4 linked regions of the Mytilus edulis genome follow. The protein of the gene in region 4 binds, or shares a complex with, the protein of the main gene of each other region. Links are inferred from orthologs where the notes say so. Each region holds a gene or a part of one and is shown on either strand. Other genes may lie near its edges.

Region 1 (7,740 bases), on a different chromosome or scaffold from region 4:
GAATAAAGTATATATTGTAAATGCAGATCATAACATAACAATCTTATCCATATCATGACCATTGTTTTCTCTGACTTTGTACTTGTAGTAGGTATTATTTAAACACCAGCAATCTATCTACCTTTGCCCTCCTTGAACTCTTTGACTTTATACTGGTAATATGCATGGTATGGGTCATTTTGTTGGAGGAAATTAAATTTAGGGTTGTTAATTTCATTCTGACGGATTCTGCTCTCAAACTCAGGTCCATTTCTGGCAACGAAGCTAGCAGTCTTGTCTACAATATCTTAGAATCCTTGTTAAAGAAATGATATATGTTACAATTCAGTGTAGTATTCTGGTCTATATAGATCAAAGAGGTAAAATAAAAATAAATTCTTTCAATTAACAAAAGTATCAATATTTGAAAAATTCTTAACTAACAATTTCTTCAAATGTTGTGAGGAAGAATTGAATATGAACTGAATATGTTTCATGTGTATCACTCTAGCCTATAAACCTTATTTCATGTAACTGCCTTTTACAATAACTTAATGATTTCATAATTTTTGTACTCATATACATGTATGAACTGTACATGTTCAACAGAATGAGAATTACACAGTTGCAGATTCTAAATTTTAACCACAAATTGTTTAATTTAAAATAAATACAAAAATTAGTTTGATTCAACACATGAACAAATTCATGTGTGGGTGACATGGTTGGGATAGATGTACATGTATGTTGTAAAATTTTGTTACATGTGAAGAGATGAGATTTAAAGACAGATACTGATAGTACAGCAAACTTGTGACCAATTTGCAGAGGAACAGTAAATTCTTATTTTGTTCCTTCCTTGTGTATAAATACACCAATTTAGGAACACTGAGATTCTGTTATGCTCTTTTCTTGAGTATTGATACACCTACACTTCATCTTTGCATGTTAACTAACAATATAATACTTACATGACTTACCAATATTATACTTTATTTTATTAATACTCATAAGAAACTATTAAACTTGACCTAAGCATGTTAACTAACAATGTAAATGTACTAATATGTCTTACCAATATACATGATATACTTTATTGTACATTGTATCAATACTGCTGGTAAACTATTAAACTTGATTTAAGCATGTTAACTTACAATATACTAAATTACATGACTTACCAATATACTTTATTGCTACTGTCCTGAAGACAATCAATGAATATTTATCATAATATTTTATATTTATAAAATGCTAAACCATATTATCCCCAGCCTTTAAAGCACCAGGGGCACAGAGTTTTTCAGTCAAATATATAGCACATTGGTTAAATTTTATTGAAGAGGTGAAATTTAAGCTGCATACTGATATTTTATCTTAATATAGTATTAACATGCTTCAGCAATATACTGCTCAAGATTGATTGATTGTTAGTGAACATGTTTAAAGTCATATGAAACTTTTATGTATATGTTTTTTATGACTAAATGGATAGTTTTTATTATAAAACTTAAGTAAATATATATTTTTTTCTCAAGAAAATTTTATTATTTGTCAAAATTAAGAAGAAGTTGACTTTTTTTAATTGCTTGCTTCCAGCAAACAATTCGCCAACATGTTTTCCATATATGCAGTTACCTCAGACGGACCTTTCTTGTAAAAATCCCGAGATCTCAATACGCAAGTGCAAATGGAAAACCAAACGTAATCATCGCTCTGTCATCATCATAGACTATCTCTTATTGTACATGTTATACATGTGCTTACCTAAATACCTATGCTTCGTTGATGATTGTTTACTAACCATGCTAACGGGCGACTATCATTAAACTTTGGCTTCAAATTACTACCTTCAATTAGCGTTAATTAACATGATTAATGCAAAAAAAACAAGTGAAACTGCGAGCTACTGCTCACTGATGATACCCCCGCCGCAAGTGGATAATATTAATAGTGTAAAACTATGGAAGTGTTCGGTAAACAGGAAGTTGTCGAGTGATGAATCTGAAAACGCATCACACGGTATAGCTGACTTATATAAATCCTGAAACCAAATTTCAGAAATCCTTGTATTGTAGTTCCTGAGAAAAATGTGACGAAAATTTTCAATTTGGCTATCATGTGTAAAATCAGACAAGTGTTCGGTAAACAGGAAGTTGTCAAGTGATGAATCTGAAAACGCATCACATGGTATAGCTGACATATGTAAATGTTGATACCAAATTACAGAAAGGGTGGATGTGTAGTTCCTGAGAAAAATGTGACGAAAGTTTCATGGGACGGACTGACTGACGGACGGACGGTACGACGGACAGACAGAGGTAAAACAGTATACCCCCCCTTTTTTAAAGCGGGGGTATAAAAACACCATCATTTTTAGATAATTTCATGCGTTTTCATGATTTTTTAAGAACTTGCATTATATAAATATTTGAATAAGTTTGTTAAACTTTAATACCCTTATCAAATATTAATATTTTTTAATAAAAGTAGAGAGACCGATCCCAGGGCGACCAGACTCTCTGGGCGAAAGAACTCAGGGCAAATATGTAAGTAGGGCGAATGGACCTGATACCCTTTCTTAATAATTTAAGCTTATTTATCTATGCAAGATTTAAAAAAAAATTATAATGGGATTTGTTTTTTTTCTGTGTGCAACTACAAGACAGACAGTTGTCTCTGGAGGAAAACAACATACATACCTCTACACAAGTTTCTTTAGAAAGACTATACATGTATAATAACCTTTACTTTGTTTTCTAATATTTTTTCTATTCTAAAGAGTGAGAGACATATGTTGTTGACATTAAAAGGATACTCCTTACTTCTGGGGGAGGGTATATGATTCCAATAACTGGTTTAGCTGCTTGTATTTCTTCTTCTGTTTTCTCTTCCTGTACAGATATAAGTTTCTCAATAGGCGGCATTTTGGAAAAAGTGATCTTGAAGTAGAACACCTCCAATATCTAAATTGCTGCGAGTAAAAACGTACCGGAAGTCGCTAAGGTTTATCAAAGTCGCAAAAACGTTTTGCCTGAAATATATCTTTTTATAGCGCTACATATTCTTTTTAGCGGCGAAATATATAGGCTGATAAAATTTTATATGCATTGGATTACAATGATATAAGCAGCTGTTAAGCCCACAATTTAATCTTAAACAAAAGTACGTTTTCAACTCTTAAGCGTCTTATAAACCCAGAGTAAAATCTCCATTTTTCTCGCGAGACTTTCCAAATATTTACCTTGGATATCCGGTAAAATGAAGATTTGAGGAGAAATTTAGGTAACGGTAGCCTTTGATTACAGGATCCAGGGGTTCAAATTAAAAAAAAAATTGTGAAAAGTACGGCACCACTTAACAGTAAAGTTCGATGAAAGGTCCAAACATTGACTCTTGTCTACAAAGTTTTACAGAATAATTTTTTCCTGTATTCACGGAGGCAAAAAATTCTAAACATGTTCGACAGGAAAAATTAAGGCCTAATTAAAACATTATTTCTGAAGCTTCGTAAATAGATAACAAAATGTTTGACGAAAATGTAATTTAAACCTTCACCGCATCAACAAATATTTTGCCTCTGAGGCGTGGAAGCAACTTAAAATTCGGATATTATATATTATAGGACTATAGTTTACAGGGACTGTATATTTCATATTCAATCAGTACATGTGCATTTAATTTGCAAGGTTGAACCATTCATTATATATTATTAACTTATAAATTAAATTCGAAAATATTATTTGTCATACCCTAGCTTCACTCGTGTTACTCGAAATCCCCATATTATCGATAATTTCTGTATATATTTCCGATTTGATTACATTTTATTATAAAACTGGATGTGGGTACGCATAGCCTACAAATGTCAATTTGACTATTGGTACCCACATGCGGGTACTCGCAGACACTGCCTAAAAGAAACGGAAATACCGTAACGTTTCCGATGTTGGTTCTGTTGTTAGGGGTTTAGTTGTGACGTTATTTAAGTTATGACGTCATATTCAATATAAACAAAGAAACGCTGTTATCCAGGTAACGTTTTTTTCATATCAAACAAATATTAAAAATGATTGGGTGTTGAGTTCCTTCCTATATTTGTTGATATGTTGATAAATATACATTTTATTCAAAGTCTTATGCAAACAAGACCGGAAACGGAAGAAGACCGGAAACAGAAGTAGATCTGAAAAAAAAGTTAACGATTTTGAGTTCATTAGTACAAAGGAAATTTTCCCGATTTTTTTTTTTTTTTTTTTTTTTATTGATTTTTCTACCGTTATTGGGGACTTTGTCCCCATATTAGTACATCAGAAGGGTAATTTTCACCCTCTCACACACATCTCTGGTACAATGGAGTTTAAACTATAAAAATGGGTACTTTGGGTGCCTCGGTTGGTGAAAATTGTCCCCTACTTTGACCCTGGAGATCAATCTTCTGATATCTCTCTGGTTTGTCTGTTTCCACCGAGTAGCCTGTTGGTTCTCTCCAAGTACTTTGGCTTCCTCCACCATAATAACAGACTTCCCGGTGTCCTACAGGCTCCCTTGGGCGGTGTTGGGTAGGGATTGTTAATATTGTAAAGGACACATCTCCATTAATCCTTAGGGAGTGTACATGGATCCTCTGTACCCTTGCAGTCAATCAAGGGGTGTGTCTAAATTGGCGGAATCTCTCGAAAGTACATACATATAGGGTGGGTCTATTATATAAGTGTGACCAAGATTGGCCGATTTTATCTAAGCGTGACAAGTGAAAGTCAAATAATAGGGCTCTTCACGGTTAGTTCGGCCAAATTGAATAGGGGACAGATTTTATTGAAAGAGGTGGAAATAGTATGAAAGTGTGGGAAATCTTACATTTCTTATGCATGTTTCTAAGCAACTGCTCTGTTTTAATGATGTGTTCCTGTATTTTTCACACCATTTTTACCTCCATTATGAAAATCTGCCCCTATCCAATATGGCCCAACTAACCGTGAAGAGCCCTTTTAAGCATGAAAACAAGAAACAAAGCTTGGCGAGGCACAGGAAATAACATGCGCCATTGTGGCAACGAGAAGCAGGATACAGGATTCTCACTAAACTATAAGCGAGATACAGGATTCTCTTTAACAATAAGTGGGATCGGAGAACAGACCCCGTATACACCTTATCGCTATTTGTCCGCCACTACTAGATATCACACAGGTTCCCATTAAATTTTGATGTCATAAAACAAAATATCTGACGCCCCAATGGAAAAGTGATTGTTGAATGACGTTAAAAGTTCAAGCGGCCGGGTTAGCTGGGAATAGCGATAAGGTGTATGAGACTGCATAAAGGGTGTATATCACTATGCGTATAAGAGTCAGTTTGGTATTTTATACAATATTTTACAGGTTCTGGAAGCTTCTCCACATTAGAAGAGAAACAAACTCATGGTTTAGCAACGTTTACAACCACTATGAAATTAGAAAATATATTTATAATTATTAACCTTTAACAATACTGTTAAACCAGGCATGCCCCAAAAAATAATCATCAACCAGTTGATGTTTTTCTGTATGTGAAGAAGAAGAAGAAGATGTGTTAATATGAAGAACGCGGATCTTAATGAAAGCACCCATAAAACATTTGCAAGTTATAAGTGTTTCATACAGAAATTCATCAAATATGCTTTCTGAAACTTGAAAACTCAAAAGTACATTTGGTGTGGCCAATAACCAAATTGGAAGTCCAACTGTAAATCTGATACGTCTCGGAACTTCAGACCACAACTAATTTGAACCCCTAGCATGTCTGGGATCATTTAAGTGATTGTTTTTAATTCAAATTGAATCAACCCAATTTTTTGCAGTATTTTAAACATGGAAAAAATACTATTTCAGATTTGAAATCAATAGATATTAGAAGATGTGGTATGAGTGCCAATGAGACAACTCTCCATTGAATTACAACTGTTAAAAGTAAACCATTACAGGACAAAGTACAGCCTCCTATATGAAGCCTCAAGGCTCACTGTCACACTGAACAGCAAGCTATAAAGGGCCCCAAAAATGACTAGTGTGAAACCAATTGTGGTTGCATTGTATTTAGGAGATAACTGTATTTTAGCTTGGCCTTCCTAAAAGGTAGATTTTACTGTTGCGAATTGAGTTTACCTATTGATGCGGAGCATAGATAGATAAACAGATATTTGCGACAGTAAAATCAAGTTTTACGAAGGCTAAGCTTAAAGTACAATACAGTTATCTCCATTCTAATGCCACATACAATATGTATTAAAATAAATTTGTCAAACATACATACTTAAAAGTATTTTTACTTTTTCGGATTTCAAAATGGGGGCTTTCTTAGTTATGGACTGGTAGAACGTGGAATCTAACCCCTTAAAATATCTGTCAAGGTCCAATGAAAATTATCGTTACAAACTAATTGCATTAGAAATTGAATTTACAATTTCTTTCTTGACAATTTCAAAATTTCCTACTGTAGGATTTTGTGTGTTTTGTTGAGAAACACTTATGTTACATTTTTTGGACTGATAAATAAATAAAGAGAGGACTTCATGAGTAATTTAACTGATGATTATTATTTTACAGACTGACAGAATTCAAGTTGGGAGCGTAAAGTCAGAAAACTGTAAAGATGTCCGCATTTAATATCAACACTGCAAAGAAAGAAGATGTGTCTGTTAGACTTAAACAGCAGTATGTATCTTATTTTTACAGTTTTATTGTTGAAGTGTTACCCTAATATCCAATCTAATTAAAATTAAATCCTTTAATTGCTCCTGTTCTGATATGTCGCGCATCAAGCCTTGATGCGCGACATATCAGAACAGGAGCAATTAAAGGATTTAATTTTAATTAGATTGCCCTAATATCTAAAAAGATAACAGTTAAGATGAGTATTGTCAATTGTGTAAAACTGTTTTATTTAAACATGCATTTTGCTTCCAAATCTTAAACATGAACTTTGAATTGATACTGTCCCTATATTATAACATTATTTTTTTTTATTATACTCATATTAGTTATTAAACAGTTTGTATAAGATATTGTCTATTTAGATTTCATTGATTCACTTCAAACTATAAATCTCAATTAATTTTGTCTTCATCACCTGTATTTATAAGTATAATGTTACTGAATCATTTTTATTGTAATTTTATGTTTTTATTCATTAGCATCTGTTCTGTTGATGCCATTTACCCTCAACCCTGTTATGGTGATACTAATTGATAAACATTAACAAACATATTTAGACTGCTGATACTAATTGATAAACATTAACAAATATATTTAGACTGCTGATACTAATTGATAAACATTAACAAATATATTTAGACTGCTGATACTAATTGATAAACATTAACAAATATGTTTAGACTGCTGATACTAATTGATAAACATTAACAAATATATTTAGACTGCTGATACTAATTGATAAACATTAACAAATATATTTAGACTGCTGATACTAATTGATAAACATTAACAAATATGTTTAGACTGCTGATACTAATTGATAAACATTAACAAATATATTGATACTAATTGATAAACATTAACAAATATATTTAGACTGCTGATACTAATTGATAAACATTAACAAATATATTTGGACTGCTGATACTAATTGATAAACATTAACAAATATATTTAGACTGCTGATACTAATTGATAAACATTTACAAATATATTTAGACTGCTGATACTAATTGATTAACATTTACAAATATATTTAGACTACTGATACTAATTGATAAACATTAAC
Region 2 (6,925 bases), about 1.8 Mb from region 4:
ATTTCTTTAATTTCTGAAGTATTTTTTCCCTGTTCACCAAGAAATAATTAAATCTGGTCTATGTATGTACATGTATCACTGACAGTGAGACAATTCTCCATCCAAGTCATAATCAGTTTGGGGGCAACCCCTTAATGTTATAAATATACCTTTTACATGTTTTATGAGGGATCAATATAAGTTATAATAGATTTGTTTGTACAAAAGGGCTCATATTTTCTCAAAGAACTATATATCTATCTGGTATTAAATGGTCAAAACATGTCCAAGAATTTTGTAATATTCCTGGACTTTAACCATGTTAACACATTTACTTTAACAGTTTAATATTATTCAAAATAAGTGGACCCCTCTTTTAGAAAAGTTTTTTAAAATATGATGCAACTCTCCTCTTTTGAGTACAAAATTCTAAGTTTTTAAAGGTTTTGTATATAAGAACTATACAAATCCTTGGTATTTCTATTTTCGTTTCTACATCAGTAAAATGACCCCTTGTCCATGTTGTCTGAGAGAGGGTTGTTCTCAGCCTGATAATAACAAACACAGGTCAAAGTACGGCCTTTTACACAGGGCTTTGATACAGATCAAACAGCAAGCTATAAAGGACCCCAAAATTGTCAGCGTACACAATTCGAACAGGAAAACCAACGATCTAATCTATATATCCAAACGGAAAAATACCAATGAACAACATCAACAAACGATAACTGCTGAACGACAGGCCCCTGAATCAATCAGGACAGGTGCATAAACATGCAGCGGCTATGGATAGTTTTGTTTCGCCAGCATACAATATAATTGCAGTTGAAGGCAAATCCTTCAGAAGTTTTTTGTACTTCATTCTAACAACGAATATTTTTGATAGGGAATATAAGTAAGGGGGAAAGAAACCAATGTTTTATTATGTTCAGGTATTTCCGCTATTTCTTCCTATACAAATCCTTGTTATTACGGAGCACTCCCGCTTGGGATAAATTGGTTTCATGCTGAAATAAATATTCTCACAGATATTTACAGTGTGGTGGGGTGCTTTTATGTTTAAAATCGTTATATACACGTTAGACTGTGATTTTAAAAACAAATGTTGATATCTTTTTATAATATTTACAAAAAAACGGTGCGGGAAATGGACATGATTAAATTTTCGGATGCGGGAAGCAGGAATATAAAAAAATAAAAAAATTCTGTTTTGAAAAAAATAGGTGCGGGCGGGTCTGTCGAACAAGGAATCAAATTGGTGTGGCCTTATGTTATTTTTGACTATTTGCGGACTATAGGTTTGTTCAGGTTGGGAACAAACCCCCTATATGGTGATTATACCTGTATAGAGGGATAATCCTTCTTTAGAGGGTAAAAATTATCCCTCTATAGAGGGGTATTTTTGTTTGCACTGGATTTAAAGCAAATTAGGGCAGAATGGCATTCTCTTCTTATTATGGCAGTAACCTGGAACAGTTGATGCACCAATTGATGTACTTAATTTAATATGCACATGCCCAGTTTGATGCTTATCTAACTAAATATAAAATCTATTGTTAACCATGATTGAAAGATGTGATGATCAGGTAAAATCTACTCTTACATGTATGCCTCACTGAACAGAATTTCTATTGTTAGATTTAACATGAAATTTAAAGGTCAACTATTCCTTTTGTTGTTGATCAGGTGCTCAGATAGGTATACAATAGATTGCAAGTTTTGTCACTTTAGCAGAAAACTGGTTATCCCAATTTTTAGTAAAGTGCATATGTTGATGCATTTAATGCTAGAGATTATAGCCAATATACCTAGAAAATGCCATTCTGCCCTAATTTGCTTTAAATCCAGTGCAAACAAAAATACCCCTCTATAGAGTGATAATTTTTACCCTCTAAAGAAGGATTAGGTAGCAATACACAGTTAGGAAAAAAACTTAAAATTGACACTCATAATTTTTAAACACCCTCTTTCCCCTCCTGTCTAACAAAGAAGGCTTTATATGTGTGTTATGCATGTATATACTTATAGAAAGAGAATCTTCCATAGATTTGATTTTTTAATGGTCATAAGGGTGAAATATAATCCCTCTTGAGTGTAACCATGGCAACAATCTGCATTTCTTAGATACAAAATATAACAAAAAAGGGGGGTGAACATGTCACAAAAGTCTCCAAAATTTGGTCTAAAGGAAAATTTCAATCAATTACAGTGATACCTTTCCTGAATCCATAGGTTTATATCTATCAAGTGGTCCCAAAAAAAACCATATGCTTATCTGCTCGTTTTTCCATAAAATTGAATTGAAAAGATCGAGCGCAAAATCTTTGTTGATAAACACTACAATAATGTATGGACCTATGAACGGTACGGATAAGAAAATACGGACTGTCAATCATATAAATGGCCTATAAAACATGTTAAAAACAATCTTAATGTTCATATAAACACACTAAGAAGGCTATATTATTCTTCAATTATCTAAAAATCAATTTTATTGTACAAAAACTTTCATATTTAAAAAATTCACAGGGGCCATAATGCGAAACTAAACTTCTAACTGTGTATTGCTACCTTATCCCTCTATACAGGTATAATCACCATCCAGGGGGTTTGTTCCCAACCTGTTATTGGGGAGAGCTGGAGATTAATCATTTCTTTGGAGGAAGGCCCTGGTTTAATTAGCCTTTGTAGCTATGCTCTCTCTCTATGTGTGTGTATGCCTAGGTACGTGTATTTTGTCAAGTCAACCAATTTCTGAATTTTTAAATGAATTTTTAAAGGGTTACAATTTCTTGACAAATGAAATGGTGACACCGTTCTCTTATAAACAAATAAGTATGTATAATTTTCTTGTAGCAGTTAATCCGCTAAAAGGTGAAAAGGGTAAGTTTGAAATACTATCTATTTAACCTGTACACTCCTTGGTGTGTGCTGTTTTCTCGTAGCAAATGTAAGAAAATAGAATAATAAAATCTTCAAAAGGGAATAATGATTATTTCTCCTTCAAACGAAAGAGCTCATTGTATCGGTTTCGGACCAACTACGTAGTGTTTCCGTCTTACACTAACTGATCTTAAAATTTTGTATTGCCCTTGGCGCGCATCTACAACTGAATACTCATCCGTGACGCCCGGGGCTTGAAGTCATAAAACTTTGCTCAGTGCTTGGACCACAAAAAGCATGCTCGAAACATGAAATCCGACATTACGATTACAAAAAACTGACTCGAAAGTTTTATGACTTCACTTTGAACTCGACTGTGAAGGCCGGGAGAGTTATGCTACAATTAACGCACTTGTTTGGTGGGATACGCATACAACTGCAAACTTGCAGAGCAGTCAAAATGAATTCTGATTCTAATGAAATATGTAATATCACAGCAAAGAGGGATTTAAAGGGACACTAGCTGTCAAACCATGTTCACACAGTTTACTCAATCCAAATTATAATAAGTCTTGAATAAACAGTTATAAATGCATGTACTAGATAATATATGTCAGAATTCCGTGTGTTTTTTAGTCTAAACACCATCCAATGGTTTATCATGATGACCTACGAAAACTACCGACGGTCATATATCTTCTTTTAATAACTGGACACGCATAAATCATACGTAACGGATTAGATGAGGTCTCTTGCAAGTGATTAATTCATCATCGATGTTTCTTATCTTATTTTGACAAAATTGAACCATACTGGCTGCTAAACGCGAATCGCAAGTTAATATTTCACTATTTCCCTTTCGTTAATGATTGAATAAAAAAATTATCGTAATTTGATTTTATTATATAACTCGTAGCTATTGCTCCTTTAGATGTCGAAATAGGTAAGATATCCGCCGCGCGTAGAGATACAAAAATGTTTAGGGATATATCATTTTAGAACAAAAAAATCCACAAAAGGGAGAGGGGAGTGTAAGTAATCTGAATCAATACTCTATAAAAAAAATGTACATGTTCCTTTGGAATATCAACTAAAGACGAAGGGATGGACCTTCCTTCGCTCAGCTGGGAACAGTTTATCTAATATATATATGTTCCTGCTTCGCTGTATTAGATACCTAAATTATATAAAAGAGAGGCGAAATATACCACAGGAACATTCAAACTCATAAGTCGAAAATAAACTGACAACGCCATGGTCATATTTAACCATACCAACAACTTTATATATTATTTGGTCATCCTCGTGATCAACGAAACCCCTTTCTAAATATATATATTCTAAAAATAAATTGTACCACTCATTTCAGTAAAGCCGGGCATCATAGTGATTGTGAAACAACCTACACTAGGGGCGGCGTGATCATATGTGGACACTTAAAAAATTTTAACTGTTAAATACACACAATTTAATAAGATTTAGAACTGGAACGTGAAATGTATCAAAGAAACAACAAACTGACAAAAGAACAGAAAACAGCCGAAAGGCACCAATGGATCTTTAACACCCCCGCACCCTCCACAACCAGAGGCGGATTCAATTAACGTTCTCTAATAGGACGATTAAAAAATTATTGTATACATACTTTGTAAAAAAAATCTCTGAAACTTACATTATCAAGATGTTTGATATCTTGATTGACAACATATTTATAACGTTTGCAGGACATCTTTTTAAACAAATAAACTGTATTCCCATGGGAACTAGATGTGTTCCACTTCTTGCCGACATGTTCCTTTATTTACACGAAGTACATCATACAGGGGCTTCATAGAAAAAATGGCTAGCATTACCCTTTGAATTGACGTTCCGTTCTTTATATGATAGACATCCTCTCACTTAAGGTAACAGGTACGTAAATGGCTTGTCCGGCGATTTTTAAACGAAATTGTATACACGTCACTGTGTCTAAACCACACCGGCAAAATTTGTTCGGACTCGATGGTATCTAACATCCGGCACAATGACGGAACATTAATAGACAGAAGAAAGCTAGGTTTCTCCTTATTTTTTTATTTTTTTTATGATATTGAAGAATATATATACATATACAACTATTTTCTATTGTGAGATGCAATATTTTCTACAACCGTTCTATATTAACGGAGAAATAAGTCAAAATGCATGTCAAAATGACGAATTGAGTGAACCTTGCCTCGAAATTGTTTAATTTCTCGTTAAATTGTTCACATTGTACGGAAAGAAAGGTACGGGAAGATAGATATTGACACGGAGATTGCAAATTTAGTTGTTATGAGCATCTCCATAATTGTATCTTTGTGTATGGAACGAAAGAAATGGGTCATGTCAAAATGGAACTGGCCGGTTTCGTCAATGTATACAACCCGGTTTCGTCATAGATTTCAAAATGCATAACCCGGTTTGGTCAAATAAAAAAAATCATAATCGCATTACATTATAATTGATTATTTAACTTCAGCGTTCAAAAGGAGTTTTGTGGGTCGTTGGAAAACAAGTTCGTTCACCGGACAACGTCTTATTATTTATATGAGTCTCAGATTCAAATAAATAATAAGCAAAAACTTGAATTCCTACTCTATAGAACACAAATATTTTAATTTACTTTGCATTCCGAAATTTTTTAACAGCATATTGAGATTAAAGCTCTCTTAATATGCGTTTTCTATATGAGTTATGGGAAAATATGTTGAACATGTTTAAACTTGAAATTAAAGTTTACGGTCTTAAAAATCGAAACACACAATTGATATGTGATTTTCTCGCACAAAAGGATGGACACCTTTATAAGTAATCTAATCATTCTATGTATGTAATCTTTTCTACAATCGTTAAAAATAAATCTTCTTAAGGATAAACGTTGATAATAAGACAACTGTATATGCATGCATAATCGACATAGAAAATGAATGTAGGATTACAACTACCATGCATTAAAATATTTTTTTTTATCCCTTATTGTAACTATACTGCTATGTCCAAATTAGTATAATAGTCTCAGGTCATCGACAAAATTCAATAATAATTATTTTGTTAACATTACTAAAACAAGAATGTGTCCTCAGTACACGAATGCCCCACTCGCACTATCATTTTCTATGTTCAGTGGACCGTGAAATTGGGGTAAAATCTCTAATTTGGCATTAAAATTAGAAAGATCATATCATAGGGAACATGTGTACCAAGTTTCATCAAAAACTACCTCGACCAAAAACTTTAACCTGAAGCAGGACAGACGGACGAACGGACGAACGAACGAACGAACGAACGAACGGACGGACGGACGGACGCACAGACCAGAAAACATAATGCCCCTCTACTATCGTAGGTGGGGCATAAAAAAAACGAGTCTGTACTGTCGCCGTTGTGTTATGATGGTCGTACACTGACGTTGGTGAATATATATACGGACAGACGGATTCAGTTTATTTCAAAGTGGACGTAATTCGAACAACTTTTACATACCGCCGAGCGTAGCGAGTCGAACACTATTATTTTTTGCTTTACAAAATCGTTAAATACAGGAATCAATATAGTTTTGGCAACCAAAGGTGGGGTCGGGGCGTGCAACCTATACGTCATCTAGATTCGCCACTTATCTTATAAAGTGTATACCGAATTAAAATATTGTAAGAAATGAGAAAACAGGGACACCCGGGAAATCGGATTATGTGAGTTGGATTATGTTTATTATAATAAATGCCGAATATCAAGTTCTTTTTATCGATTTCTATACATTTTTTTTCAAATATATATAAAAGTTATATAGCAAAAATGATAAGGCAGACAAATATACAAATAAATCGACTTGACCGATATCCTAATAAAACTTATTGACCTTTAATTACGAGTTTTTTTTCCATTTCTTTGCGTTTTTACACGCCCGTCCCAATTTTGACAGGACGTATTATTGTATACACCCGTCTGTCCGTCCGTCCGTCCTTCCATCCGTCCGTTCCTCCATCCATCAGTCATTCGGTTCGTCCGTCTGTCCGTCTATCTATCCGTCTGTCCAGCATAAACA
Region 3 (7,678 bases), on a different chromosome or scaffold from region 4:
TTGTGTTGTGGAGAAGCTGATAAGACCTCATCTCATGTCCTTCAGTCTTTGTGTTGTGGAGAAGCTGATAAGACTTCATCTCATGTCCTTCAGTCTTTGTGTTGTGGAGAAGCTGATAAGACCTCATCTCATGTCCTTCAGTCTTTGTGTTGTGGTGAAGCTGATAAGACCTTATCTCATGTCTTGTAGTCTGTGTGTTGTGGAGAAGCTGATAAGACCTAATCATCTCATGTCCTGTAGTCTTTGTGGTGTTGAGAAGGTGATAAGACCTCATCTCATGTCCTTCAGTCTTTGTGTTGTGGAGAAGCTGATAAGACCTCATTTCATGTCCTTCAGTCTTTGTGTTGTGGAGAAGCTGATAAGACCTTATCTCATGTCCCGTAGTCTCTGTCTTGTGGAGCAGCTGATAAGACCTAATCATCTCATGTCCTGTAGTCTTTGTGTTGTGGCGAAGCTGATAAGACCTCATCTCATGTCCTTCAGTCTTTGTGTTGTGGAGAAGCTGATAAGACCTTATCTCATGTCCCGTAGTCTCTGTCGTGTGGAGCAGCTGATAAGACCTAATCATCTCATGTCCTGCAGTCTTTGTGTTGTGGAGAAGCTGATAAGACCTCATCTCATGTCCTTCAGTCTTTGTGTTGTGGAGAAGCTGATAAGACCTCATATCATGTCCTTCAGTCTTTGTGTTGTGGAGAAGCTGATAGGACCTTATCTCATGTCCTGCAGTCTTTGTGTTGTGGAGAAGCTGATAAGACCTCATCTCATGTCCTTCAGTCTTTGTGTTGTGGAGAAGCTGATAAAACCTTATCTCATGTTCTGTAGTCTTTGTCTTGTGGAGCAGCTGATAAGACCTAATCATCTCATGTCCTGTAGTCTTTGTGTTGTGGAGAAGCTGATAAGACCTCATCTCATGTCCTTCAGTCTTTGTGTTGTGGAGAAGCTGATAAGACCTTATCTCATGTCCTGCAGTCTTTGTGTTGTGGAGAAGCTGATAAGACCTCATCTCATGTCCTTCAGTCTTTGTGTTGTGGAGAAGCTGATAAGACTTCATCTCATGTCCTTCAGTCTTTGTGTTTTGGAGAAGCTGATAAGACCTAAATGCATGTCCTGCAGTCTTTGTGTTGTGGAGAAGCTAGTAGGACCTAATCACATGTCCTTCAGTCTTTTTGTCATAGAGAAGCTGATAGAACCTCATATTATGTTCTGTAGTTTTTGTGTCGTGGAGAAGCTGATAAGACCTCATCCTATGTCCTTCAATCTTTGTGTTGTGGAGAAGCTGATAAGACCTCATCTCATGTCCTTCAGTCTTTGTGTTGTGGAGAAGCTGATAAGACCTTATCTCATGTCCTGCAGTCTTTGTGTTGTGGAGAAGCTGATAAGACCTCATCTCATGTCCTTCAGTCTTTGTGTTGTGGAGAAGCTGATAAGACTTCATCTCATGTCCTTCAGTCTTTGTGTTGTGGAGAAGCTGATAAGACCTCATCTCATGTCCTTCAGTCTTTGTGTTGTGGTGAAGCTGATAAGACCTTATCTCATGTCTTGTAGTCTGTGTGTTGTGGAGAAGCTGATAAGACCTAATCATCTCATGTCCTGTAGTCTTTGTGGTGTTGAGAAGGTGATAAGACCTCATCTCATGTCCTTCAGTCTTTGTGTTGTGGAGAAGCTGATAAGACCTCATCTCATGTCCTTCAGTCTTTGTGTTGTGGAGAAGCTGATAAGACCTTATCTCATGTCCCGTAGTCTCTGTCTTGTGGAGCAGCTGATAAGACCTAATCATCTCATGTCCTGTAGTCTTTGTGTTGTGGCGAAGCTGATAAGACCTCATCTCATGTCCTTCAGTCTTTGTGTTGTGGAGAAGCTGATAAGACCTTATCTCATGTCCCGTAGTCTCTGTCGTGTGGAGCAGCTGATAAGACCTTATCATCTCATGTCCTGCAGTCTTTGTGTTGTGGAGAAGCTGATAAGACCTCATCTCATGTCCTTCAGTCTTTGTGTTGTGGAGAAGCTGATAAGACCTCATATCATGTCCTTCAGTCTTTGTGTTGTGGAGAAGCTGATAGGACCTTATCTCATGTCCTGCAGTCTTTGTGTTGTGGATGAGCTGATAAGACCTCATCTCATGTCCTTCAGTCTTTGTGTTGTGGAGAAGCTGATAAAACCTTATCTCATGTTCTGTAGTCTTTGTCTTGTGGAGCAGCTGATAAGACCTAATCATCTCATGTCCTGTAGTCTTTGTGTTGTGGAGAAGCTGATAAGACCTCATCTCATGTCCTTCAGTCTTTGTGTTGTGGAGAAGCTGATAAGACCTTATCTCATGTCCTGCAGTCTTTGTGTTGTGGAGAAGCTGATAAGACCTCATCTCATGTCCTTCAGTCTTTGTGTTGTGGAGAAGCTGATAAGACTTCATCTCATGTCCTTCAGTCTTTGTGTTTTGGAGAAGCTGATAAGACCTAAATGCATGTCCTGCAGTCTTTGTGTTGTGGAGAAGCTAGTAGGACCTAATCACATGTCCTTCAGTCTTTTTGTCATAGAGAAGCTGATAGAACCTCATATTATGTTCTGTAGTTTTTGTGTCGTGGAGAAGCTGATAAGACCTCATCCTATGTCCTTCAGTCTTTGTGTTGTGGAGAAGCTGATAAGACCTCATCTCATGTCCTTCAGTCTTTGTGTTGTGGAGAAGCTGATAAGACCTTATCTCATGTCCTGCAGTCTTTGTGTTGTGGAGAAGCTGATAAGACCTCATCTCATGTCCTTCAGTCTTTGTGTTGTGGAGAAGCTGATAAGACTTCATCTCATGTCCTTCAGTCTTTGTGTTGTGGAGAAGCTGATAAGACCTCATCTCATGTCCTTCAGTCTTTGTGTTGTGGTGAAGCTGATAAGACCTTATCTCATGTCTTGTAGTCTGTGTGTTGTGGAGAAGCTGATAAGACCTAATCATCTCATGTCCTGTAGTCTTTGTGGTGTTGAGAAGGTGATAAGACCTCATCTCATGTCCTTCAGTCTTTGTGTTGTGGAGAAGCTGATAAGACCTCATCTCATGTCCTTCAGTCTTTGTGTTGTGGAGAAGCTGATAAGACCTTATCTCATGTCCCGTAGTCTCTGTCTTGTGGAGCAGCTGATAAGACCTAATCATCTCATGTCCTGTAGTCTTTGTGTTGTGGCGAAGCTGATAAGACCTCATCTCATGTCCTTCAGTCTTTGTGTTGTGGAGAAGCTGATAAGACCTTATCTCATGTCCCGTAGTCTCTGTCGTGTGGAGCAGCTGATAAGACCTAATCATCTCATGTCCTGCAGTCTTTGTGTTGTGGAGAAGCTGATAAGACCTCATCTCATGTCCTTCAGTCTTTGTGTTGTGGAGAAGCTGATAAAACCTTATCTCATGTTCTGTAGTCTTTGTCTTGTGGAGCAGCTGATAAGACCTAATCATCTCATGTCCTGTAGTCTTTGTGTTGTGGAGAAGCTGATAAGACCTCATCTCATGTCCTTCAGTCTTTGTGTTGTGGAGAAGCTGATAAGACCTTATCTCATGTCCTGCAGTCTTTGTGTTGTGGAGAAGCTGATAAGACCTCATCTCATGTCCTTCAGTCTTTGTGTTGTGGAGAAGCTGATAAGACCTAAATGCATGTCCTGTAGTCTTTGTGTTGTGGAGAAGCTAGTAGGACCTAATCACATGTCCTTCAGTCTTTTTGTCATAGAGAAGCTGATAGAACCTAATATTATGTTCTGTAGTTTTTGTGTCGTGGAGAAGCTGATAAGACCTCATCCTATGTCCTTCAGTCTTTGTGTTGTGGAGAAGCTGATAAGACCTAAATGTATGTCCTGCAGTCTTTGTGTTGTGGAGAAGCTGATAAGACCTAAATGCATTTTCTGCAGTCTTTGTGTTGTGGAGAAGCTAGTAGGACCTAATCACATGTCCTTCAGTCTTTGTGTCATAGAGAAGCTGATAGGACTTATATTATGTCCTGTAGTCTTTGTGTCGTGGAGAAGCTTGAAGAACCTAATGTCATGTCCTGCGTTCTTTGTGTTGTGGGGCAGCTGATAGGAAAGAATTTCGTTCCCTTCAGTGGAGAAGCGGAAACCCGGATCTATCATGCCCTTCAGTGTGTTATCAGTGGAAAAGCTGGTACCAGTTCTTCTCTGGTCCTAAAATGTTGAAATATTGAAGAAGCTGTTACCAGACAATCTCAAACCATTCAGTGTTTCGATAGTGGAAAAGCTGAAACCAGGCTTCCCTGTATGTCCTTTAGTATTATAACAGTGAAGAAGCTTATCAGACTGTCCCACTTAGTTCAGTGTTGTATATAACAATGTGCAGAAATTGGTACCAGGCTATCTCTTACCTTCAGTTTTGTAACAGTGCAGAAGATGATGAAAGGCTATATCCTGCCTTCCAGTGTAAATTGTAACAATGTGCAGAAGATGATAATCATCCAGTGTTGTAACAGTGCAGAAGATGATAAAAGGCTATATCCTGCCTTCCAGTGTAAATTGTAACAATGTGCAGAAGATGATAAACATCCAGTGTTGTAACAGTGCAGAAGATGATGAAAGGCTATATCCTGCCCTCCAGTGTAAATTGTAACAATGTGCAGAAGATGATAATCATCCAGTGTTGTAACAGTGCAGAAGATGATAAAAGGCTATATATATCCTGCCTTCCAGTGCTGTAACAGTGCAGAAGATGATAAATTGCAATATCCTGCCCTCCAGTGTTGTAACAGTGCAGAAGAGGACAAAAGGCTATATTCTACCATCCAGTGTTGTAACAATGAAGAAGATGGTACCAGTTTTTTTTTTATATTATGATAACTTAAACGATTTTTTTTAATTAACATATAATTATCTGAAACCATAATAGATTTTTTTTCAAAATCATACCTAAAAGTTAAGTTCATAACACTATATTTACCCTTCATATTTTGGGCGTTAAGTTACAACATTATTTTTATTTATCAGATAAAATAAGAAATATAAAATTATAACACTAATCTGGACTGGGTTGCACAAACGTCTATTAAAGTTAATAGTCTATTAAAAGTACACTTACATTTAATAGTCTATTATTTGTGTTGCACAAATTTTAATTAGCGTTAATAGTCTATTAACTCACTATTAAATTTAATTGAACGAAGGAGCGCTATTAAAACCTTAATTGTACATCTAAAATTGATGCCATGCAAGTGCTTGGATTACCTGTAACCCAAAATCAGCCGAAAAAGTACCGTGACAGGCTTTTCAACTCGATGATTTGTCAGACTGAGAGCTTCGCACAGCCGGTGATATCCCACATTGTATGATTTCGCAACAAAAAGAATTGTTTTGGTTATCATTAAAATAATAAGAGAAAGAAAAGATAAAAATTGAGAAGTTCTTGAAGCATAAATGAGATATGAATGGGGTGGTGACGGGGAGGGGAATCAGAGGGGGCCTGGTCCCGAAATCAAGGTCTTAAAAGTATGTTATCCCGAGGTCCCGAATTTAAAGAAATTTAAATCCTGATATTCCGAAATTTGAAAGTAGAACCGGATCAAAAAAGGTCCTGCCCTCCTCATGAATCTATTAGGGGAAAATGGTTTTATTTTAAATACGGCAAATATCATTGAACTGATGACAAAAAAACTTTTGCCCGCATCCTTGGAAGTCCGCTCCAAGGTTCAAACTGAACTGTATTTCTTAGAAAAAGATCGTATAAAGTCCCGGTCAAATTTCGGAAACACGTTGCACATAATATTGTGAGTAAAATCATAAATTTAGAGGAAGATTTACAGTTATAAGTTTTCATACGTTTTTCACAGTGGAGCCAAAATTCATGAAATGCGCGGATACACAGGACTGTGCATCGTACGATAACAATATTATACCGTCAATGATTAAACCAGACTGAGTCTTTGCTATGAAATAACAAATAGGACCAAATGTGTTTTAGGTTTTCTTCGTAAAATCTACATCCAGCAGATCAATATTGGTGTCAACATTGAAAATTAATACACATTTTCCCTGAAATAGGTTGTATAAATGAAGAATGTAATCTCCGTTGACGTTTTGATAAAGAGTGCTTTCTTTCACGTCCGCATTTCTATCAAGTATGGCACGCCAAGTTAACATTTTAATGATTATTACAGATAGGAAACACAAATAACAGAACAGTGCATGCACAATATCATACATTGTTATTCGTAGGACATACGAGAAACTACGTGGTGATTTTTATATATTACACAGTAAACTAATGTAGATTTTTTTTAATTAAATATGGCATAGTGTAGATTGTCCCTAATATTTATAACCAATAATTCATATTTAACATTTTTTTTCCATCTGAAAACTGTAATATAGATGAAAAAGAAAGTATCCGACACTTTTGTGAATCTTGGGTATAAACTTCAAATAAATATATGATATTGACATGTGATGGTGTTCATAATAACATAAACAATTATTGGATTTATGGGGGTCAACGGACGTCAGCCAGGTATTCCGACACCCCACTGGTCCAACACCCCATAAGTCCGATAAAGATTAATAACTGCCGCAATAGAAAATATACTTCATGAGTAGAGGTTTATGAGGATGTGGATGTGGATTTACAGAAAAGAGAAAAATGGGGGAGGGGGGATTTAAAAAATAGAGAAAAATGAGGTCCTAAAATAATGGGCAAAAAGTATAAAGAATAGAGAAAATGGCAAACATTTGAAAGAATACAGGTACAACCCCCCTCCCCAATCCAGACACCCCTTGGTAGAATAATTGTTGACATGCGTTCTAATTTCACAGAAACAGATTTTAGCATGCCACCTATCTGGTATAACTATCAAAGAAATACCATGACCATATATATGCATATAAAGAAACTGAATACCTTGCAAGTTTTGGTAAAAGAAGATCTATGGGAACAAATTCTACTAAAAAAAAAGAAACGTCATCAGCAGAGCAGTCTCTCTTCATAAAGACAAATCATAGTGATCAAGGAACGACCATTTAGCTTCAAGGGGGTTATGTTTTTTTCCTAAAAAAATTATTCAGATCCCCAATTTGATGAAAAAAAGATATTCTGGTCAAGCAGATGAAAAAAACATATTTTGAATGCAGTAAATATAGTGTTAAACAACACAAGCAAACATGCGACACGAATATTACTCTTTTGACATCCACAAAAATAAACTGTCAGTTTTCAATATTCCGATTTACCAGCATTTTTTGCTGTTGTAAACTTATTTTAACATATTCCTCAAAGAGAACGCGGCAAACTTTACAAAGTTCTATTTGGTTTATCACTGTTTTTATAGTTCAATGAATTAACTTTTAAAAATAATTCACTCTTCAATTAAGTAGTGTATAAACATTGTTGTACATATAGACTAACTAAACTAATGTTCATCTCAAAATAATTCTGAACACTGAACCAAGCATCTCACATACAATCGTCTAAGCGGTAAAGCCTAACTGGAGCCTTAACTTTCTAATTCCTCTGCTTTGGGAGAGATACATAGCTGTGTATCGTCATGTTAGTTATTCGATTAAGCTTTACAAAGTTTATTTAGTTTGACAAAATATCGCTACACCGCGTCTCAATCATTCTTTATTTTTGGGGGTGAATACTACCGACTACTTTCATTTATACATATCTACCAAACAACCGTGTTAAATTGCCTGAGCCTGCTGCAAGGCAAATTAGCGG
Region 4 (7,723 bases):
CTTTCCCTCAGCTTTTCAAAAGAAGCAGAAAACATGCTTCTGTATTCAATATTTTTACCGGACATTCACTTTCGTTTTAATGTATGTTATGATAAATCCCGAGCAATGCGAAAAAAATATGACTACATGACACACGCTAATTGGATAAACACCGAGAAGATCGAAATGTTTTCAAAAACACGTGTATCCTTTGAGCAACGAAAAACTCTAACAGGGACCCATTTCAGCTACTTGATGCAGGGATCTATTTTTAGAACGAAAGGAAATTTCCAATTATAAATATTATAAAAATAGTTTACGCGACGACTGTAAACAGATAAGGGTAAATAACGCAAATGGAAGCCAATAAAAGGGTCGAGAACTCATGGTTTTGGCATATTATTGGGTTTTCCTTTGAATTAATTGGGTTATTGAACCCTGCAATGGGCAATTGCATTGGGTTTTTTATTCTTTGTATTGCGTGATCACGCAAATACGCAGCTTATCTGGAGCTTTGATCAGCTATTAGAAAGTTACACAATTTGAATTCCTTATCACCATAAAATTGATATGATATCTGCTTTAGTATATTCTACCATCATCCTTTTTAAATTGTGTACATGTACATTCATACAAAGCTGTAAATTCATTAATAAAAACTAAAGAGTATTTGTTAGGTTAAAAGCTCTATAAAGCTTACCTATATTATAAAAAAACACATAACCAACTTTCAATAAAACTGCTTTATGTTCAAATCAAAACTTTTTTTGAAGAAAAACATATTGCTTACATCTAATTCTTCATTTGGAGCAATAGATGTGACATATCCTTCAAACTTCCCATGTGCACTGTAAATATCTGTATCATAATGGCCTTCTGCTCCCAAACCAACTTTATTTGCCTCATCTTCTTCATCTGCCCCTCCATCTTGGAGCTTCTTTTTCTTTTGTTGAAGATTTCGTACTTGTTCTTCAATTTCTGAAATAAATATCTCCATTTTAATTTTGAATCATTTGTATGTTAATATTTGAGTAGGGTTTTTAAATGGATAGTTCATATTGTCAGTGGGATTTCTTGGACTTACCCCTTTTTATTTGATGCAATTCAACATAGTTAAGTTTTTTAATTTTTTCACTAAGTAGTTAATTTTGTATGTCATTTAGTCTCTGGTGCAGAGTTGTCTCATTGGCAGTCATACTTCATCTTTTTTTTTATATAAATTTTAATTAAATAAAAGCTGAATTTTCAACTTTAAGAAACTATGTCCATGATGCCACATCCCCTTCATGCCCTTATTTTACTTAATTATTTTAAAGAGACAGATCTTTTTTTTTTAATTGGTTGTATCTGTGGAATACCTATTAGAAAAGGGATATCACATTCTGATTTCTACAAGTATATGGATTAATACGGAGCCAGAATTCTGACCGTGCAAGGGCTGTGTAGCCAGTCAAGGTTGTTAAAAACTTTCTTTAGTAGAGCCAGAAAATTCATATCTGACTCATTGGTCATTTGAATTAACTGATTCTTGAAGTTATCAATTTCTTCAATGGTATGATCTTTAAGATCTCTCTTCATTTACATGTACTACTACTGCAATGCAACATTGATTATGTTGATTGAGTTCTTTTCATAAATTAAAACGTTAATAACTAGGGCCTAAATTAATATATTGTTTGTTTCCCCAATCCTGACCCTGCCAAGCCAGGTGTGGGTCGGAAGGTAGGGAAATAATTTTATTTTTTCCAAAAAGCTTGAACAACATTGGACGATCCTGCAAGCCTGAAAATAGGAAATGAATAAAATAATATTTGACTTAAATTTGACAATAAAATTTTATGAGTAGCACTGTTTTTGCAGGGTCGGTTGGGATTGGGGAAACAAACAATATTTTATTTTAGGCCTAGTCATGGGTTTTTTTTCAGGCTGGTTAAAATGTTTTAATTTAACCCTAATTCTGTTGGAATTAATAATCAAAATTTGATATGAGTTGAAATTTGCTTTGCACTACATTTGTTATAGCTTTTAGTTCCACAGTAGTTGTTATACTCTTGCAAAGGCACCTTTTCTTTTCATAGTATTCTTGTGCTTATACTAGTGCCGATATGATGATGTTATACATAATATAGGTGGTTAGAGAGTCATTCTAGCTAGGGAATGTGTGTGAGAGTCATAATGGTATGATGACTCTTGAGGTGGGGGAAGTGTGACAGGATTGCTTTCGTTCATAAATGTGGTAGACATTTAGTCAGCCATAAGTGCTTCCTTGTTACACAAACTGAAACATTACATATGTGAAGAAACTACAAAAGAGGAAACGTACACAAGTGTTTACAGTGTCATTTGGGACACTTACTAAAGACTAAAGACTAAGGTCCTGTGTTTCGAGTCCTGGTGGAGACAAGCAATTTTTTACACTTGTTCAACTTATTGTAACTAAATGACTTAAATAATATTCCTTTTCAGAACATACATGATGCATGTATTAATGGAAAAATTAGTGTGGCTGAATGGACTATTGCAAAACTAGTTCTACAGCCGAAATGACCTATGGCTGAACTGGTTATAACTTATGCGACCGAAACGTGTTATCAGCCCTGTTGGGCAGCATATCTTCTGAAGGTAAAGATTCTCTCTAATTCACAATGAGTTAAAATAGTATTGGATATGGATCGAGACAGCCACTATGAAAAAGAACTGCTAAGAACAATGTAGTATGACAAGATTCAAGAATTCGAAAATAAAATCTTGAACCTTTTAACACACATGTGTTCCATTATACGTTGCAACACAAAGCCACGTGTGTGGATGTTTACTTATATGTAAATTTAATTAAAATGTCATATTGCTACATTTGAGGTTGTTTCATATAAGTTTTCTAGGGGAGAAGTGGGGAAATAGTATACGGACCTTCTCTTGTTGTTGCAGCCATTTTGCTGGTCTATTGATGAATAAATGGAAGACTTTAATTTACAAACAATGTGCGTGAAATCTCGGAGTCTCAAACAAACTCCAAAATTGAGAAAGGAAATGGGGAATGTGTCAAAGCGACAACAACCCGGCATAGAGCAAACAACAGCCGAAGGCCACCAGTCTTCAATGTAGCGAGAATTCCCGCACCCGTAGGTGTCCTTCAGCTGGCCCCTAAAAATATGTATCATGACTAGTACAGTGATAATGGACGTCATACTAAACTCCGAATTATACACAAGAAACTAAAATCAAAAATCATACAAGACTAACAAAGGCCAAAGGCTCCTTACTTGGGACAGGCGCAAAATTGCGGCGGGGTTAAACATGTTTATGAGATCCCCCCCCTCCCCCTATACCTTCTAGCCAATGTAGAAAAGTGCCCACATCGGCATTTGTTTTGTAGATTTTGATTTCTGTTTATTTTTTTTCTAGAACTATAACCTTACTGTGTTATTCTAATCTAAGTTTTTTTTTTTACTGTTTTTACATTGTTTTTGTTTTATTTTATTCGCGGTTAAAGGGGCACTATGATGAATTATTCACTCAGTTGCAAGTGAATAATTCAACCTCATTTAATCCGTATTCATGTAAACTTCAATTTAACCCCTTAGCAAAAGATGGATAACGCATGAATTTTGCTTGTAAATTTATTTTATAAAGGGAAAAAATGTTAACATGAAAGATAACAAAGGTTTCTACTTGTATTTGTAATACTTATTTGTACTGATTTTTATCCATCTGATGAGTTAAGCCTTTTCAACTGGTTTTTATAGTTCGTTTTTTATGTTGTACTGTTACACTACTGTCCCAGGTAAGGGGAGGATTGGGATCCCATTAACATGTCTAACCCCTCCACATTCTGTATGTTTGTGTCTGTCCCGACGACCAGGGGCCTGTAATTCAGTGGTTGTCGTTTGTTTATATATGTGTTATGTTTTTCGTTCATTTTTTGTACATAAATTATGCCGCGCGAGTTTTCTCGTTTGAATTGTCATTTCGGGGCATTTTATCGCTGACTATGCGGTATGGGCTTTGCCGGTCATTGTTGAAGGCCGTACGGTGACCTATATTTGTTAATATCTGTAATATTTGGTCTCTTGTGGAGAGTTGTCTCATTGGCAATCATACCACATCTTCTTTTTTACAATCAATTGATTGATTGACTGATTTGATCCACAAAAAATATACAGACAAAAACGATGAAGATAAACATATATTTTTAATCTATGATATGAATTGAACAGACCTAGAAAAATCGAATTGCACGAGTTCGATAAATCTATTTGTATCTATATTTGTGTTTACATCGCTTATATGGTCATTTGAGGACTTCGGAGGTCAACTCGATAGTTTAAATATAGCTGGCGTCTAGACTAAAATACACACGAAACGAAGCTTCATATTATCGGGCCCATGCACTGTAAATAAGTTGTTCAAATTGGTGAACATGAATTTGACAGCTAGTGCCCCTTAAAAAAAATATTATACCTTGGGACTATTACATTGACCTATTGGTGGTCTCAGATTATGTGTTTAGAATTTACGAAAATTCAAATAATAATCTACATTTTAGTGAGAAATGTACAAAGAATATACTAAGTTTCCTAAGATACTGCTAAATATATGTCACGGCTTATATATTGAATAAGAGGGAATTAAAATAGAGGCATTTTAATGTTTCTAATAATAAAGATTACCCAGTAAAAGTTTAGTTCAAGTTTTAGGTGTAGCAACATCAGTCAAACAATACTTCCATGGTAAAACAAAGATAACTTTAGACATAGCCTCCTATATATGGCCATGGTCATTCGTATATGACCGAGATGTTAATTTTAAACTATCTTGGGGTCCTAGCTCACTGCTCGACAGTTGAAGTATTTATGTTGGGTCTTTTCTTTTTTCTTTTTATATATATGTAATCTGTTATCATTAATCGAGACGACTCGTGAATAAATGAAAATGAAGTGGTTTTGTATGAACCGTAATATGAAAAAAATGTATAGAAACTAGGAAATTATGAAAACTGCAGACTTTTATTCATAATATAGACGGAGAAATAGTAAGCGAAACACTGAATCAACTTTTAAATATGGTTGACAACGTACCGATGAGGGAAACAACCATAAATGCCACCAGTTTGGAGTATATAAAAATACCAATTAATGTAGCCAGGAGTACTTTTGGCACAAATATCCAACTTGATAATAAAAAAATACAAAACTGTAAGAAGGCTCCGTGGTTTACTGGTGATTGTAAAAAAAAAACAGAGAAAATATAAATCACCAATAGAAAATTTAGTAGATATCAATCATAAATCAGAAAGCCAAAACTAAATTATAAGAGAAAAAAAATATGAGACGACTATGAGTAAAAGTATGCCGAGAAACAAGAAAAAAATTAAGAAATGAAATATGTAACATTTTAGGTTTGGTTGTTTGGACATGTTTAGAAAGAGTGCCACTGATGTTTTGTGTACGTTATAAAGATCCTTGTAACAACTCAAATTGGACCATATGTTGGGGTTTTTTTTTCGCCTACGTTTATCTATGATCAAGACAATGTGCTTATTTTGATGACCTCCAAACGAGTTAGGGCCCATGGTTCTGTGAATGAGATGTACCAAAATTGCATCCATGCTTAAATTCATGTCCGTAAAATCGAATAACTTTCTTTATCTTTAAATATTTGAACAATTTGACAGTAGTCCATACATACTGTCGATTTAAAAACAAAATGGATGCCTGTAGCAAATTCTAATTGCATATTTTTGAAAGTTGACTCTTTGTGGCCTTCGCATGGCGACATTTTCGTCGATTTTACTTTTTGGAGTAAATATTTCATCTGTATTTTATATACTTTTTCACTTTTTTGGTCTTTTGGAAAATGTTATTTGTGCTGTATTTAGACCCTTCTACAACGAAATTTGTTTTACATGCACACGTATAAAAATTGCGGTTTTTATCTAACGCAGTCATAGGTTTGGACGTAGTTTTCAATTTAGACTTGTATATATGTATATATATATATATATTAACAAGTCAAAAAGGGTACAACATCACCATAAAATAACAATAAAATGAACAAATGTTAGCTATTTCGGATTACAGATATCCTTCTTCAGTATGACCACTAAAATGAATCATGTCAATTAATCTATTCTTATTATAACACTATCACAATCTTGAAATTTATACACAAACAAAAAACAGTTTAGGCGAACATCAGAGACGCTGGTACAATTTTAAAATTTCCAAACACGACGCAAAGACTGCAAAGAGATGCCAAAATAAAAATAGTAATTTGCGATGTGAACTGACACAACTCTAAAATTCCAAAGGTGATGCCAGTAAAAATGTAACAACAACTGCGTGGATAACAGTCCCCAAAAATAAACAAAAACGCCCTAACCGATCTAAGTTGGTATAATATTTCAAATTTGACAACGGTAGGGCAATTGCAACAGAGACGGCATATTTAAGCCCCCCCCCCAAAAAAAAAAATAGCAGTTAAATAATGATTAGAAAAATAAATAAATTTTTATTTACTAAGGTAAAATAACTGAACGTGGCTGTGTACTTGAATGAATGGAGCCCTGTAATTTAAACTGGTATATTTTTTTTTCTTAAATTCTTAAAGCTGTAAGTCCAGTACGGAAGCCGGAGTTACTGGGACCAAGTGATGATAGGAAAAACAGTGATGACAGGAAAATGAGTGATGGTAGGGAAAATGAGTGACTCATTCTATGTTTTTTTCATTTATGCCCTCTGGGGAAACTGTCCTTAACTTTCTAATCCAAAATCTTTCCCGAGTTACTCTGTCAGCCTTCGACCAACCCTCGTTGTGGTCTATGATTGTGATGGTAAGGTATTTGAGATCAGCTTGGGCGTCGTCATTTGAGATCACCTGGGCACGCCCAAGCTGATCTAAAAAAACTTACCATCACAATCATAGACCACAACGAGGGTTGGGACAGGTGCAAAATTGCAGCGGGGTTAAACATGTTTTGTAAGATCTCAACCCTCCTCCTATACCTCTAACCAATGTAGATTAAAGAAACACAGAAAATCGCACAGTATACTCAGTTTAAAAGAATTCCGAGACCAATGTCAGAATAGGTAACAAAAAAAGTAAGCAAAATGACATTGATACATAAATTTACAAAGGACTGCTAGCAGTTACTGATATATACCAGCTCCAGCCTTCAATCGAACTGATTGAACGATTTTGTCTTCATCGTATGAAAATCAAGTACCATCCCTTCCGAAAGGGGTTTAGTATCATACCATAAAAAATATATGAGAAGAACATAACTAGTATCACAGCACTGAGTATCATGACAACAACTGGTTTTAGAAAAATGTTTTGAATTCCGATGCAAAGACCTCATGAGTTAACCAATATACAATCCTTAATGACTTGACAATAGTATCTTTACGATATCCTTCCGAATAATTAGATATAGGAAGATGTGGTGTAGGTGCCAATGAGACAACTCTCCATCCAAATAACAATTTATAAAAGTAAACCATTATAGTAAGTCTGTTTAACGGTTTGGTTAGCTTTTGAGGTGAATGCCGACATTTTTTGTGCTTAGTAAAGAATATTACCATAGAATATTGGATGTGAAATACCTGAACGTATAAGATGTCTGCATGTTGATTTATATTTACGAATGATGTCCTTGTAATGGTGATAAAATTCATTAAATTTTTTGAATAGTTTGTGATATCAAAAACTCTGGTGTAATAATTTTTAAGTAATACAGAGACTT

The links.
Region 1: splicing factor 3B subunit 1-like (region 4) and splicing factor 3A subunit 1-like share a complex: the UniProt entries of both Homo sapiens proteins name them as parts of the 17S U2 SnRNP complex. The link is inferred for Mytilus edulis from reciprocal best matches to the Homo sapiens genes SF3B1 and SF3A1.
Region 2: the proteins of splicing factor 3B subunit 1-like (region 4) and ATP-dependent RNA helicase DDX42-like are in contact, whole or in part, in a cryo-EM structure (PDB 7EVN), measured with the Homo sapiens proteins. The link is inferred for Mytilus edulis from reciprocal best matches to the Homo sapiens genes SF3B1 and DDX42. Residues at the interface, in NP_036565.2 of Homo sapiens: Pro509, Pro510, Lys513, Arg517, Thr520, Asp557, Arg558, Tyr561, Lys562, Asp565, Leu566, Arg568, Pro569, Ile583, Ala607, Ile610, Ser611, Arg614, Glu622, Arg625, Asn626, Arg630, Pro646, Phe647, Ala650, Val651, Lys653, Ser654, Lys655, Lys656; in NP_031398.2 of Homo sapiens: Asn68, Glu71, Glu72, Tyr75, Phe76, Glu77, Asp78, Glu79, Glu80, Glu81, Asp114, Pro115, Leu116, Glu117, Phe119, Met120, Val123, Ala127, Asp130, Met131, Arg133, Leu134, Gly146, Ile147, Arg148, Ile151, Glu152, Glu153, Glu154, Asp155.
Region 3: the proteins of splicing factor 3B subunit 1-like (region 4) and splicing factor 45-like are in contact, whole or in part, in a crystal structure (PDB 2PEH), measured with the Homo sapiens proteins. The link is inferred for Mytilus edulis from reciprocal best matches to the Homo sapiens genes SF3B1 and RBM17. Residues at the interface, in NP_036565.2 of Homo sapiens: Arg334, Ser336, Arg337, Trp338, Asp339, Glu340, Thr341, Pro342; in NP_001139019.1 of Homo sapiens: Leu309, Met312, Val313, Asp319, Asp321, Leu322, Glu325, Thr326, Glu329, Leu372, Arg375, Tyr376, Phe377, Gly378, Gly379, Val382.

Annotation. Positions count from the first base shown.
Region 1 is NC_092346.1:97,751,262-97,759,001, forward strand, and holds the start of splicing factor 3A subunit 1-like, read right to left. Parts: upstream 3,001-7,740; 5' UTR 2,907-3,000; coding exon 2,798-2,906; intron 287-2,797; coding exon 122-286; intron 1-121. Other genes in the region: zinc finger B-box domain-containing protein 1-like, read left to right, coding at 6,610-6,671. UniProt on the Homo sapiens protein: Component of the 17S U2 SnRNP complex of the spliceosome, a large ribonucleoprotein complex that removes introns from transcribed pre-mRNAs.
Region 2 is NC_092345.1:82,959,302-82,966,226, forward strand, and holds the start of ATP-dependent RNA helicase DDX42-like, read right to left. Parts: upstream 3,018-6,925; 5' UTR 2,890-3,017; intron 1-2,889. UniProt on the Homo sapiens protein: ATP-dependent RNA helicase that binds to partially double-stranded RNAs (dsRNAs) in order to unwind RNA secondary structures. Unwinding is promoted in the presence of single-strand binding proteins.
Region 3 is NC_092344.1:3,344,274-3,351,951, forward strand, and holds the start of splicing factor 45-like, read left to right. Parts: upstream 1-4,666; 5' UTR 4,667-4,681; coding exon 4,682-4,780; intron 4,781-7,678. UniProt on the Homo sapiens protein: Splice factor that binds to the single-stranded 3'AG at the exon/intron border and promotes its utilization in the second catalytic step. Involved in the regulation of alternative splicing and the utilization of cryptic splice sites.
Region 4 is NC_092345.1:84,715,974-84,723,696, forward strand, and holds the start of splicing factor 3B subunit 1-like, read right to left. Parts: upstream 3,018-7,723; 5' UTR 2,912-3,017; coding exon 2,890-2,911; intron 958-2,889; coding exon 770-957; intron 1-769. UniProt on the Homo sapiens protein: Component of the 17S U2 SnRNP complex of the spliceosome, a large ribonucleoprotein complex that removes introns from transcribed pre-mRNAs.